Coturnix japonica: one gene and its partners. The main gene of each other region encodes a partner of the protein of the gene in region 2 in a complex. Links are inferred from orthologs where the notes say so. Each region holds a gene or a part of one and is shown on either strand. Other genes may lie near its edges.

Region 1 (3,647 bases), on a different chromosome or scaffold from region 2:
TATGTGCTGAGATTTTCCTTGAAGAGTTGTGGTGTGGGGTCTTTCTTTGACCTCTGACAATCGAGTACTTAATTTTCCCTCTCACTGCCTTAATCTGTGTGTTGTTTTCTCTAGTGTCGAAAGATCTCTAAGATCATCCAGTCCAACTGTCTACCTATCACCAATGTTTTCCACTAAAACATGTCTCCCAGTACAACATCTGAACATTTTTTGAACACTTCAGGGTTGGTGATTCCACCACCTCCCTGGGCAGTTTATTCCAGTGACTGATTACTTTCTTAGAGAAGTATTTCCTAATGTCCAACCTGAATCTCCCATGGTGCAACTTGAGGCCATTTTTTTTCTAGTTCTCTTGCTAGTTACATGGGAAAAGAGGCCAACTCCTACCTCACCACAGCCTCCCTTCAGGTAGTTGTAGAGAGTGATAAGGTCACCCCTGAACTTCATCTTCTCCAGACTAAACAATAATGGATTCCGGGGATCTGATGCTGGGAACTACCACATTATGATTCCAGTTCATTGCTTGTTGATGAAAACTGTAGGATTTCTTTCTCTAGGATTTGCTGTCCTTTGAGCTACTGGACATCAATATTGTACAGGAATTAGAGCGAGTGCCACACAATACTCCTGTTGGTAAGGATATTCTGGTGAACTGTTGCTAGCATTCCATTTTACCGTTTACTCAGTGAAAATTTGTTTGGGCAAAAGTTTTTGTTTTTCAGGCTGAAGTGTCTTCCTAGTTCCTGTGTTGTTTTTTTTTTGTTTGTGTTTTTGTTTTGTTTGTTTTGTGCATCACTAGAGGAGATTTAGTTGTCACTTGTCACTTTCTTCTTTTCAATTTCGCATTCCCAGGACCATAAGATTCCAGGCATTCTAGAAGGTTGCCATTTGCTTTCCTTGACAAGTGCTGGTGATTGCAGAGTTAATTGTCAATTTTGCCAAAGTGTCTTACAACTCTGCTGCCTTCGAAGAACGTTCTTTAAGAAAGGATCTTAAAAAGTTACTTTCTTGAGGAAGGTTCCTATTACTTCAATGACGGTCATCTTCATAATTTCTGTTTTACAGATGTGACTCCCTGCATGTCCCCTTTGCCGCATGATAGCCTCTTGCTAGAGAAACCTGGCTTAGATCAGATAGAGGAGGAGAATGAGGGTAAACCAGTGTCTGGTAAGCAGTAGTGATGGGGAGCCTGAGAATGGGGAGGGAGGAGGATATTGTCAAATCTGAGAACTGGACAGTAGTTGTGTTTTATTTACCTAAAGAATTTGAACTCCTGTTTTTTGCATATCTGTGGAAAACCAGTTCATTGGATTATAAATCTATAATCTGATACTATTCTCTATAAAGCTTGGAGTGTAATGTATCTAAAATTCAGAAACAGAAAAGCATGATTCTTATGAGTTTGCTACCTAGTAGAATTGGTGAGAGAACTAAGAATTTGCCTTTTAAGGACTAGATTAGACTCGCATTCAATTTCAACTTGAAATGAATTCCAAAATCTTCAATTTCTGAGGAATAATCAGTACATAGGATCAGTATTAGTAGCCTTGGCTAGCTTTAAAAAAATGGTTTTATGCTTGTGTTTCCTTTTAGTGACATTCAAGTAATCTGTTGTTTCCCTTTCAAAGGAATGATTGAAATCTGCTTTTCTACAGATTCTTGTGTGGTGAAAATGAAAACTGAACATCCACTGAACCAAGAAGAAGGGGAAGAAGATATGAGCGGGACTCAGTTTGTGTGCGAAACTGTAATTCGCTCTCTGACTCTGGATGCTGCACCTGACCATAAACCCCCACAAAAAAAGAAATCGCAGAAGAGTGAGTACTGTACTCAGCTGACTTTTGTGGTGTTATTTTCCTTGCAGATATTGGCCACAAATTGATTTATACTGCAGCTAATGATAAATTTTCAAATTATTTTTACTGATTGCTGTATTAGATTCTTTGCAAACATTCCAAGACGCTTTCATTTGTAAGGTGATAAATGAAGAAACTACTAGGATAAAAATTCACTCTGTTTCTAGAAAGGAATTAAAAATCCATCAGTCAGAGGCAATGATAGAAAATGGTAATAGTACGTAAAATGAGTCTAAATTGAGGGTAAAGCTGTAATAAGGGCTGCAGGCGGAAAAAAAAAAAATTCAGTTACAAAAAGGTCTGGTGTTCTGGGGCTTTGGTTCTCACGTTGTACCAAGGATCAATGTTACATCAGAATATTGTTGTCATTGCTTTGAACAGCTGTTTTGAGAGCTAGCAAAGTTAATTAAAGGAAGAAAAATAAAAAGTGAAATTGAGATAATGCTTCCAGTCAATGTTCCATTCATTACCCCAGTCATTCAGATAAGTGCTCATAGATGGCTAGCACTTGCATAGTTTGCATGCGTAGTTTGACGCCTGTGCGTAGATCTGATACATATAATGTAGGAGCTGAAAACTGCTGTTCTCAGTGTACCTGTTACTTCTGTTATATTCCACTTAAATTTAATATGAGATCAATACCTCCCTTCTCCTCTCGTGAAATAATATTAATAAAAAAAGCTCTTACACAGTTAACATTGGTAGCAAAGGTTTAAAGTTATGTCTGAATGATTGCCCTTTACACCTGGAACACTACTGCTTTTGGTCTTATCCACACAAAATAGACAATTTTTAATACCCTTTTCATTCTTTTTAGATGAGCTTCTGCTGTCTGATGAGAGAACAGACCGCTCTAGCAGTACAGTCAGATCTGATGAAGATGATGATAAAGATGATGTTCAAAGTCAAGGCTCTTCTGCTTCATCAGAGGATTATATCATTATTCTCCCTGAGTGCTTTGATACCAGTCGTCCTTTAGGGGAGTCCATGTATAGCTCAGCTCTTTCTCAGCCCAGCCTGGAAAAGATGGGAGAATCTGAAACAGGGGCAGGGAATTCAGAAGGGGAAAGGCAGCCACAGATGCATAGCATCAGTAACATTTTGACAACTTCACATACACTGGCTGTAGTACCGTTGGCCTCTGAGGTTGTGGACACCTTACCCCAGTCAGAAAGGTATGATTCTAGGACAAGAATAAAGAGTTGCTGCAGGCTTTACAGGATGTTGCATTCAACTTCAGTGTCAAAATAGAAATTGTTGCCAAAAAAAATCAGTTTTGCATGTGCCTGTCCATCGTATATCCTGTTACTTTTTTTATAAAGCCATTTGTGCATAGCTAATCTGTGAGTAGAAAAGGAAATAAGGGAGTACGTGAAGATTTCCTTTTGCTTTTTTTACCTAAACTTACCTACATGTGGGCACATTGAATGGAAGGGAAAAAGTAATTGTTCTGCTTTATGTTTTCAGAAATCTTGCATCTCTTCAGAATCATATCTTCCAAGAGCCAAACAGACCAACTTTGGAGAATGTCTCTTCCACTCCTTGTAATCAAATAAGAGAAGGTAATGACTGTACTTACTGAAGGGTGCATACATAGTTGCATCCTATTCTTTACACCTGCAGTTGAATTTCATGTCTTCTATCCTTGAGGGGAACAGAAACCTACCCAAGTAATACTAATCTGTTTCTCTGGGGGTGTTTAAAATTTTATCATACAGAAGTCTTGAATATAACAGTAATCAGCTTTGTGAATCAGGTGAGAGTAGTGTTTATTGATTAGAAATGTTAGAA
Region 2 (4,178 bases):
TTTCTTTTTGTTACCAGAGCCAGGCAAAATTCCTATCTCTGAAATAGGAACTATTCCCAAGTGACATGAATATGAAAAGGCTTGGAAACCTTTCCAAAGCTTGGTGACACGTTTCCATGGAAATACTGTGTGCATGTGGAAAGAAAATGCAGCCACTGGTAGGTTTGTTTTTTTTCCTGGTATGTATTTTTGATCAAGTAGAGAGATATATTACATGATTCAATCTATGTGGCTTACTGTTCTTCAGAAACCATTTTGACCTTCCCTGAGACACTGTGAGACTAATTTCTAAGAATCATAGAATTGCTCAGGTTGGAAAAGACCCTGAAGATCATCACATCCAACCGCAGCCTAACCATAGTACCCTAACTCTAACAACCCTCTGCTAAATCATATCCCTGAGTACCACATCCAAACGGCTCTTAAACACATCCAGGGATGGCGATTCAACCACCTCCCTGGGAAGCCAAAATCAGCAGCTGTGTCAGCTGTGCAATAGTAAAGGCTGGACTGTTGTGCTTCGTGTTTCCTTCCTTCTTTGGAAGGAAAATGGTGTTGTCACATCAATGAAACAGTACACCAAAGGAAAAAGACATGATAAGCTTTGTGTATTAACTTGGCATGGCACTTTTTCCAACCAAACACTCCTCGTTCCAGATTCAAGTATCCACAAAGCATGTCACACAGTAGAGATGCTGGCTTGGATACCTGTATACTCTTCTCCATTTAGATGCCTCCAATGCAGCCAAAAGCCCTGAAAATTCTAGGTTTCTTCCTAAAACACAAACGTAGTTTGCTAGTTCAAGAACCTCAACTACTAGGCAACTGAGCTCTTTCACACTAAGTTTGTGTTAGGACATACATTTCCATACAAGATAAAATTGACAAGTGTTGTGAAGGAAAGGTAGTTGCACAACCTCACTACACAGCTTCAGACTGACCAGCAACAGTACTTTGCCTATTTTCTTACCCTGAAACGCTACATGGTAGCATCAAATAAACTGAAGTAGAAAAAAAGCCTTTAGTTTTTGCTTTCAATTTAGAAGATTGGTAAGCAGAACTGTCAGGTAGCAACAGTGACAGGACCAAGCTGACTCAAAAGGATGGCATGTAGCTTAGTCATTAGATAAAGGAAAAGAAGATAGGGGGTACCTTGATTTATGAGGACAAGGTGAGCTCTGAGGATTCTAAACCCCTAGAAAGGATTCAAATTAAATAATCAAGTTTGAGACAGATCTCCCTCTTGCAAAGAGGGAAAAATGGAGGTGTTTTCCTAGATAATCAACTGTAGTAAGTTTCCCTGATAACCCAGGCAAGGTATCTCTTCTAAAGGTTACTTTGCACAGAGAGACAAACTTACAAAGACAATCCAAAGGGCAGATATATTATCTTGATGTCTGTTGCTGCTGGGTGACTGTGGTAACAATGGACTGGGCCAGCATTATAATTTCAGCAAAATGCAGACATATCACAACAGTGAAGTGCCAGCAGCCAATGGGACATTGCTGTCAAGGATCCTACTGTCGTGAAGGGCAGTGACAGAAGTGATTAAATACGTCTGTTGCACTCTGTGCAGCTCTGACAACAAGCCTTCCCCAGCAATCCACACCAGGCCTCTCCAAGCAGTGTTTTCACTTCCCCTTAGCTGCAGCACAGCTCACTTAGTTTGATCCTGTTTTTGTCCATTACACTCTACTAAAGCCCCTCTGTCTTGGCATTTTTACTCCTTGCCAGACCAGGTCTGTTGCTGGGCTCTCCACATAGTTCTTCCAGTCACTTCTATCATGACCTGCTGCATTACCTGCCACTCTCCTGACCAGCTGAGCCTGCTGTGGCCGTCATCTCAAAAGACAGACCTGCATACACTGCATGCTCAATTACTCTCATCCTACAGGGAAAAGCTCAGGTGAAACAGTTCTTTTGCACACTGCACCTCTGGTCACCCCAATCTAGGACAGAACTCTCCAGTGTTACAAAACAAACAAAATAAACCCTAGTGTTACTATTTCTTTTTGCAATTATTGCCACAAATTATAAAGCCAGGAGTTTTCCACTGAGATTCCAGACAGTCCTAAGGACAAGAAAGGAAAGTTCAGCTCGAAAATGATCTTGTTTTCCAAATGATGCTTTTTGGGTGATTAAAGAGTAGGGAAGTAAGACTGGGAATTATTATTGAGCATCCATCTCTTTTTAACTCTCATGCAAAACACAAAGCTGAAAAGAACGGAGCTGGACTACACTGAAAAGCAAGCTCCAAAAAGAAAAAGGTATAAAATAAAAACAAAACATCTGATAACAGCGATTTAGGCCTTTTTTTTTTTCCTTACAGAGAACGCCTGTTTCACACATTCATTGTTCTCCTCCATTTTCCCAGAGCAAGTCGTAAGCTCCTTCCCCACCCTCCAGCCCCACACGCATAGGCTGCCATAATAAGATTAACAGCGTTCTTGCTGTCGAATTACTGCGGATGCCCGAAAAAGACCCCCACACCCACCCACGGACCTTGGCGTAGAACAACAAATACGGTGGCACTAAAGAGAAAGCAATCCGGAATTAATACCGACACGCCAAAGTCATCTTTCCCAATCCCGTTCCTTGCAAAAGAAGCAAAGCAGCAGACGGCAACGACAAGGACAGCAAAGAATGGCGACATTTGCACAGCCAGCCCGAGGGCAGCGCTCGTCCAGCACACTCACAGGGACTCTGTCGGGGTATTTCTTCCTGATTTTCTCCCCTTCTTTTTTCCTGTACTCGAACGGGTGGTCTTCCTTGTACTGGAACTTCATGATGCGACACAACCGAGCCGGCCACTACCGTCCCTCCGTCACCTATGACCGGGCACTCAGCAAACCCTACTACGCCCGCGCAGCGCACGCAAACCCAGCGCAGCGCAGCGCAGCCCCGCACTGTGCTGTTGCGGGACGTCACAGCGACATACCCTCCCCTTCCGGCACTGTCGGCATTGCAGCGGGGTGGGGGCACTGTCTCGTGTGTGTGTGTGTGGGGGGGGGATGTGCTGGGTCTTTGTGTTTACATTCGGTTACTGTGCTTTTCGGGTTACCTAATGGTAACAATTCTAAAAGAAAGATCAAAAAATCCACAAAAACACAGCCACCAAAATAATGTGCGTGACTCAGGGGTTACCCACGCACCACCGTCAGAGGTGTCCCCGTCCAATGAGTCTCTTCTGTACGTGGTTGTGATTGATATAGTGTGCGTGTAGTATTACGGACTGGAAAACGTGTTGTAAAGCTGTTCTGTTTTGACAAGAGACCCTCAGCAAAAGAAACGCAATAATGAAAGCTGAGACCTCCACATGAGGCCAAATTGTCTCCTTCTCTAGGTGTCAAGGATTTCCCCTCTATCCTTCTACAACCCAGTATATATTATTAAAAAGAAGTTAACACCCCGGTATATATCACTAAAAGACAGGTTGCCAAACTTATCTCTATCCAAGGATGAGCAGATGTCCAGAAATAATGGCCAAGTGCTGAGTGAGCAAATGTTACAATTTTAGTACCTATAAATTACTTACAATATGCGTTATCGAGCATGCATCAGTGAAGAAAGTTCATCTAGAGGACAAGTGAGGAAGACCACTGGATGAAGTAAAAGACTGTCAATTGGACTGCCATGATGCTAAAAGGACACTAGACAGTAGAAGAGACCATGGAATAGAAGACTGGAAATCTCATCCATCTCTACCTGTGTTAAGTGTGTGTAAGTTAGTTGTCTCAAGTATAATTGATGAGTATGTACTATCTGTGGAAATATAATGGATGGGGAATCATGTAATCTTGGAAGCACTTATGGTGGAAGACGAAAGATGGATGCTCCATTGCAATGCTCTGTAAGGGCATCGTGACAAAATAGTAAGTAATAAAAATAATATCAGGAGAACAGGATCAGGAAGAAGCCCTGGTCCTTTTCTAGAAATACTCATACACATCTTTTAGACTGCTCCAAGAAATTCGTACTTCAGACATTAATGGTTTCTTTATCCCTATATGCTTATACACATAAGTCTTGCCTGAAGGGAAGGAGTTATCCCAACACTGGGAAGGACCTACTGCAAATCCCCACAGCAGATTTAGGGTGCTAGTTTGTGCTCTCTGCCCTGGAGAGAGCTGTTTATCATATATTGCCCACCACCCACCTTTACACTCTATAGCCCACTG
Region 3 (3,922 bases), on a different chromosome or scaffold from region 2:
GTAAACTATGAAAATACAATCTACTGTGCCTATTTTAAGTACCAAGGCTAAACTGAAGGTAAACAGCCCCTTGAAACATCAACAGTTGTAAAGGAGACTGCACCCAAAACCAGATCCGCTGAGGAAGTGCCCAGGCAGGTCCCAGCTTCTCAGCTCTTTCCTTTCTATGTATTACTGGTCAGAAGATCTGAGCAATACATGTTTTACATGTCTGAACTCATTCCACACACCAAAGAAGCTGTCTGTACTTAAGCACAAGCTCAGCACTTTGTTAGACTGGGGCTTTAGGGAAGGCTTACTGTGTTTAACAAAAAAAGAGAATTAAACCGAAAAAAAAAAAAAAAAAAGAAAAAAAAAACCTGAATGATGTATTCTGTTATTCACACAGGCCCCCATTTAGCTCATAAGCCAGGAAACTTCACTCTGAAGATTGCACACTTGTGCTTCTATAAATCTGAGTGACATTTACTGTCCTGTTAAGCTGAGGTAGCGCTGCTCTTAATGACACAGAGAGATTAAGAAGTTTACACACTGGAAATAGAGTTATTCAGACGTTAGCCATTCTCTTTTCTGATGATCAAATCACATCAGTGGGCTTTAGAAATCAACAGCTCTGTTCACATAAAGAGAAAGGATATTAAACGAACAAACAAACAAACAGTGGTAAAACCATCTGGAAGTGCTTCTGTAACTCTTCTGGAGTTAAATCTTTGGTGCTAATAGCCCAGCACCTGCTGGACTGAGAAACTGTATCTACTAGACTTTATGATTAGCTAATGTTAGATTTATTTGTGTGATTGTTTCATTTGGCATTAAGATTTGACATCATTACTCCAAGAGGAACAGAACTGGGTATTAATATGAAGTTAAATCAAATAATTGTCAATTATTTTCTGTATTAATAGAATTTGAAGCCCTGGTAGTCCAAAAAAGCTTCCTGAGCTTAGAAATGAGGATGATGGAAGAGCAGAACAATGCTGTGAAATCCAATTGTAGGCATTAGGGCACGTTGCACAGGTTACAAAATGAACAGCAAGTTAAACTGAGTTCTTCAGGGACACCAGAGGAAGCCTGGCTTTTTTTTCATCACCAGCACCGCTCGACTGCACAGCCTTCTGCGGTTACTACAGCTCCAGGTTCACCAGTCGCAAACGCTTTCTTTCAAAAACAAAAGATCATCAAGCATTCTGTCCACAACGCAAACCTTTTAGCTCACTACCCCTCTCGCAGCCGCCCGCTCCAGGGGCGGCCCAATGGTGCTGAGGCAAGCAGCGGCCCGCCCCAGGGGCGGCTCCTCCCGGGCCCGGAGCTCGCTTAAAGCCGCGGCCGGGACAAGGCTGGTAGAAGCCCCACTGCCAGTGTCTGGTCATGGCCCGCGACCGCGGCTCGCCCGTGCTGTGGCAGTCCCCGGCTTCCCCCCGCTTGCCTGCAGCCGCTCTACCGGCTGAGGCCCGCGGCTGGGGATGGCTGGGAGCGGGGCTGTGGCCGGCGCTGGTGGTGGGGCTTCTTGCCGCCCTGGTCGCCTGGTTCTGGTACGGCAGCAGCGACGGACGGGGAGAGGAGAGCGGCGAGGCGGCCCCGACGGTCCAGCAGGCGAGGGGAGAGGCGGAGGCTGCAGGTAGCGGGCTGGGGTAATGCGGGCTGCCCGTGCCCACCTGCGAGGGCTCGAGTTAACTGCGTTGCTTCAATTGCGTCTGTTTTAATTCTCTGTTCTTAGAGGACCTTCTGGTGAGCAGTGAGGAAGTGCTGCGGCAAGCGAAGGCTGCTGCTCTGTCCAGCCCTCAGAAACCAGGAGAGGATTTGACGGCAACACGAGGGAATGAACTTAACCATATTGTGAGCGGTACGGTTTCCTGTAAGTCACCAGAGACGGAGCAACTGCCGCCAAAGCAGCGTGTCACCTCCTCCGGGACTGATGCTAGGCAGTGTCTGATTGATGCACGTGATGGTCAGGGAGGAGACTCGAGACCACAGGTGGGACAGGCAGGTGAGGGATGGTGTGTGATGAATTCGGCAGGAGCCTCTGGTGAGATTTGTAAGGACAGAAGCGAGGGGCAGGTCTGCCAGCCAGCTGAGAGCCATGACTTGGACCATGAAGACTGGGAAGTTCTTTCTGAGCACCTGGACTGGGGGGAGGCCGGTCAGAATGGCAGCATGGAAGACTCGGACAGCAAAGAATGGGAACAAGGAGACTGCTCTGATGGGGACTTGAAAGCAAAGAGAGTTGCAGCAGTGCCCCCAATGTTTCAGAATATCCATGTGACTTTCCGCGTGCACTACATCACACACTCTGGTGCTCAGCTGATCGGTGTTACCGGTGACCATGAGTGTCTAGGCCAGTGGCACAGTTACGTTCCTCTCAAGTATGACAAGGATGGCTTCTGGTCTCAGTCTGTTACCTTGCCGGTGGACACCAAAGTAGAGTGGAAATTTATCTTGGTGGAGAACGGGAAGGTCACACGTTGGGAAGAATGTGGTAATAGGACTCTAGTGACTGAACATGAAGATCAAATCGCTCATCAGTGGTGGGGATACCACTGACTGCATTTTGGATGCTGCTTATCTAAACCTGCTTAGATTAATCACAGAGCCCTAAACTTTCTCCCTCTTCAGTAGGATTCCTTCATGACTGCGCAGCTCTGTAAGTCCCATGTCAAACCTAATTAAACTGTGTGAGCAGTAGATCATGGTCATCCCCCCCACTTTAGGAAGTCATTTGGCAACTGAAAAATCAACCCTGGCCATCTTCTGAAGATGTGCTGAGTAGGATTCGAAGGCATGAGCAGCATTCTGAGCTGCTGCCTGTCTGGATAATTCTGGACCCTGGACTTGAGTTTGTGCTGCTTTGAGTGGGGCTGTGGGACGTGCTGGTGGCTTAGAGCTTTAAAAGCATACTAGGAAGCGTGGTTACCTACACTGTAAGATGAACTTAAATGTTTTAACTTATGTAATGTATCAAGTAAGCAATAAACACTTTTGGACTAATGGTCCTTTATAACACGACCTGTGAACTGGCTATAAATTGCATAGAACAGATTTGGGTTCCTTGACTGAAAATCTTAGTGCTAAATGACTCCTGAAAAGTAACAGGCACTCTTTAGAGTGACAATGTTTGTTTCTTACCCCCTGCTCTCTAGGAAGCACCCCAGCTCAAAGGAAGGCTTGGCAGATGCATTTATTTTTTTCAGCTGTATCATCACAGTGAGATGGGGAGCAAAGGTCAGAAATGACTGTCTGGGCTTAATAAATTACTTTGTCAGAGTGAGAGCAGGCTTTAAAAAAAAAACAACAAAAAACAAACAAACAAAAAAAACAACCCCAAACAAACAGAACCAAAGCTGCTGTAATACTCAGGGGCTAGAGTTCTTCCTGAAATAGTTACATGGCATATACTGCTTGTGAAAGCAATAAACTATAGTTAAAAAATACTTGGAATAACTATAGTTAAATAATGGAATGCTTGTTTCAAGGCAAGTCTTTACTTTGTGCAGAGCACTTCCAGCATCAACTGGTTGCTTCTGTTTTGTAAAAATAAGATACCTGCTCCTCTGTCTGCTTTTCATATTGTTAGTTCTAAATATGATGCTGCTTGCAGCAAGCTCCTCTCAAAAATGAGGAACCTAGTTTGCAAATATCCCTTCATCACAATTCACTACAACAAACCTGCTCTGGAGAGAATAGTTTCATTGGGGGTTTGGAACATACACTTCAAAAACCCATTGCAAAGCTCATAGTCTCTGCTTATGTTTAGCTGTTTAACATAGTGGAGCAGTCTGAGTAGGTGAACTAGACTGTTTTTGAGTGCTAGTTTGTGTTCTCAGGTAGATCAAGCTCCTCCCAACAGTCACATATGTGACGGCAACTTGTTCTGTGAGTTAGTTACTTCAGATAACATTATCTTTGCTTACTGGTTGTCTTGAAC

Evidence for each region.
Region 1: the proteins of GABARAPL1 (region 2) and NBR1 are in contact, whole or in part, in an NMR structure (PDB 2L8J), measured with the Homo sapiens proteins. The link is inferred for Coturnix japonica from reciprocal best matches to the Homo sapiens genes GABARAPL1 and NBR1. Residues at the interface, in NP_113600.1 of Homo sapiens: Glu12, Tyr13, Lys16, Glu17, Lys20, Ile21, Lys24, Tyr25, Arg28, Pro30, Lys48, Tyr49, Leu50, Val51, Pro52, Phe104; in NP_005890.2 of Homo sapiens: Ser729, Glu730, Asp731, Tyr732, Ile733, Ile734, Ile735, Leu736.
Region 3: the proteins of GABARAPL1 (region 2) and STBD1 are in contact, whole or in part, in a crystal structure (PDB 8X8A), measured with the Homo sapiens proteins. The link is inferred for Coturnix japonica from reciprocal best matches to the Homo sapiens genes GABARAPL1 and STBD1. Residues at the interface, in NP_113600.1 of Homo sapiens: Glu17, Ile21, Tyr25, Asp27, Arg28, Pro30, Val31, Ile32, Lys46, Lys48, Tyr49, Leu50, Val51, Pro52, Asp54, Leu55, Gly58, Gln59, Phe62, Leu63, Arg67, Phe104; in NP_003934.1 of Homo sapiens: Glu201, Glu202, Trp203, Glu204, Met205, Val206, Pro207, Arg208, His209, Ser210, Gly213.

What each region holds. Positions count from the first base shown.
Region 1 is NC_029542.1:4,762,766-4,766,412, forward strand, and holds part of NBR1 (next to BRCA1 gene 1 protein), read left to right. Parts: intron 1-557; coding exon 558-633; intron 634-1,065; coding exon 1,066-1,167; intron 1,168-1,655; coding exon 1,656-1,817; intron 1,818-2,673; coding exon 2,674-3,031; intron 3,032-3,323; coding exon 3,324-3,418; intron 3,419-3,647. UniProt on the Homo sapiens protein: Ubiquitin-binding autophagy adapter that participates in different processes including host defense or intracellular homeostasis.
Region 2 is NC_029516.1:70,390,168-70,394,345, forward strand, and holds the start of GABARAPL1 (gamma-aminobutyric acid receptor-associated protein-like 1), read right to left. Parts: upstream 2,926-4,178; 5' UTR 2,787-2,925; coding exon 2,697-2,786; intron 1-2,696. UniProt on the Homo sapiens protein: Ubiquitin-like modifier that increases cell-surface expression of kappa-type opioid receptor through facilitating anterograde intracellular trafficking of the receptor. Involved in formation of autophagosomal vacuoles.
Region 3 is NC_029519.1:44,505,306-44,509,227, reverse strand, and holds STBD1 (starch-binding domain-containing protein 1), read left to right. Parts: upstream 1-1,335; 5' UTR 1,336-1,368; coding exon 1,369-1,618; intron 1,619-1,717; coding exon 1,718-2,541; 3' UTR 2,542-3,316; downstream 3,317-3,922. UniProt on the Homo sapiens protein: Acts as a cargo receptor for glycogen. Delivers its cargo to an autophagic pathway called glycophagy, resulting in the transport of glycogen to lysosomes.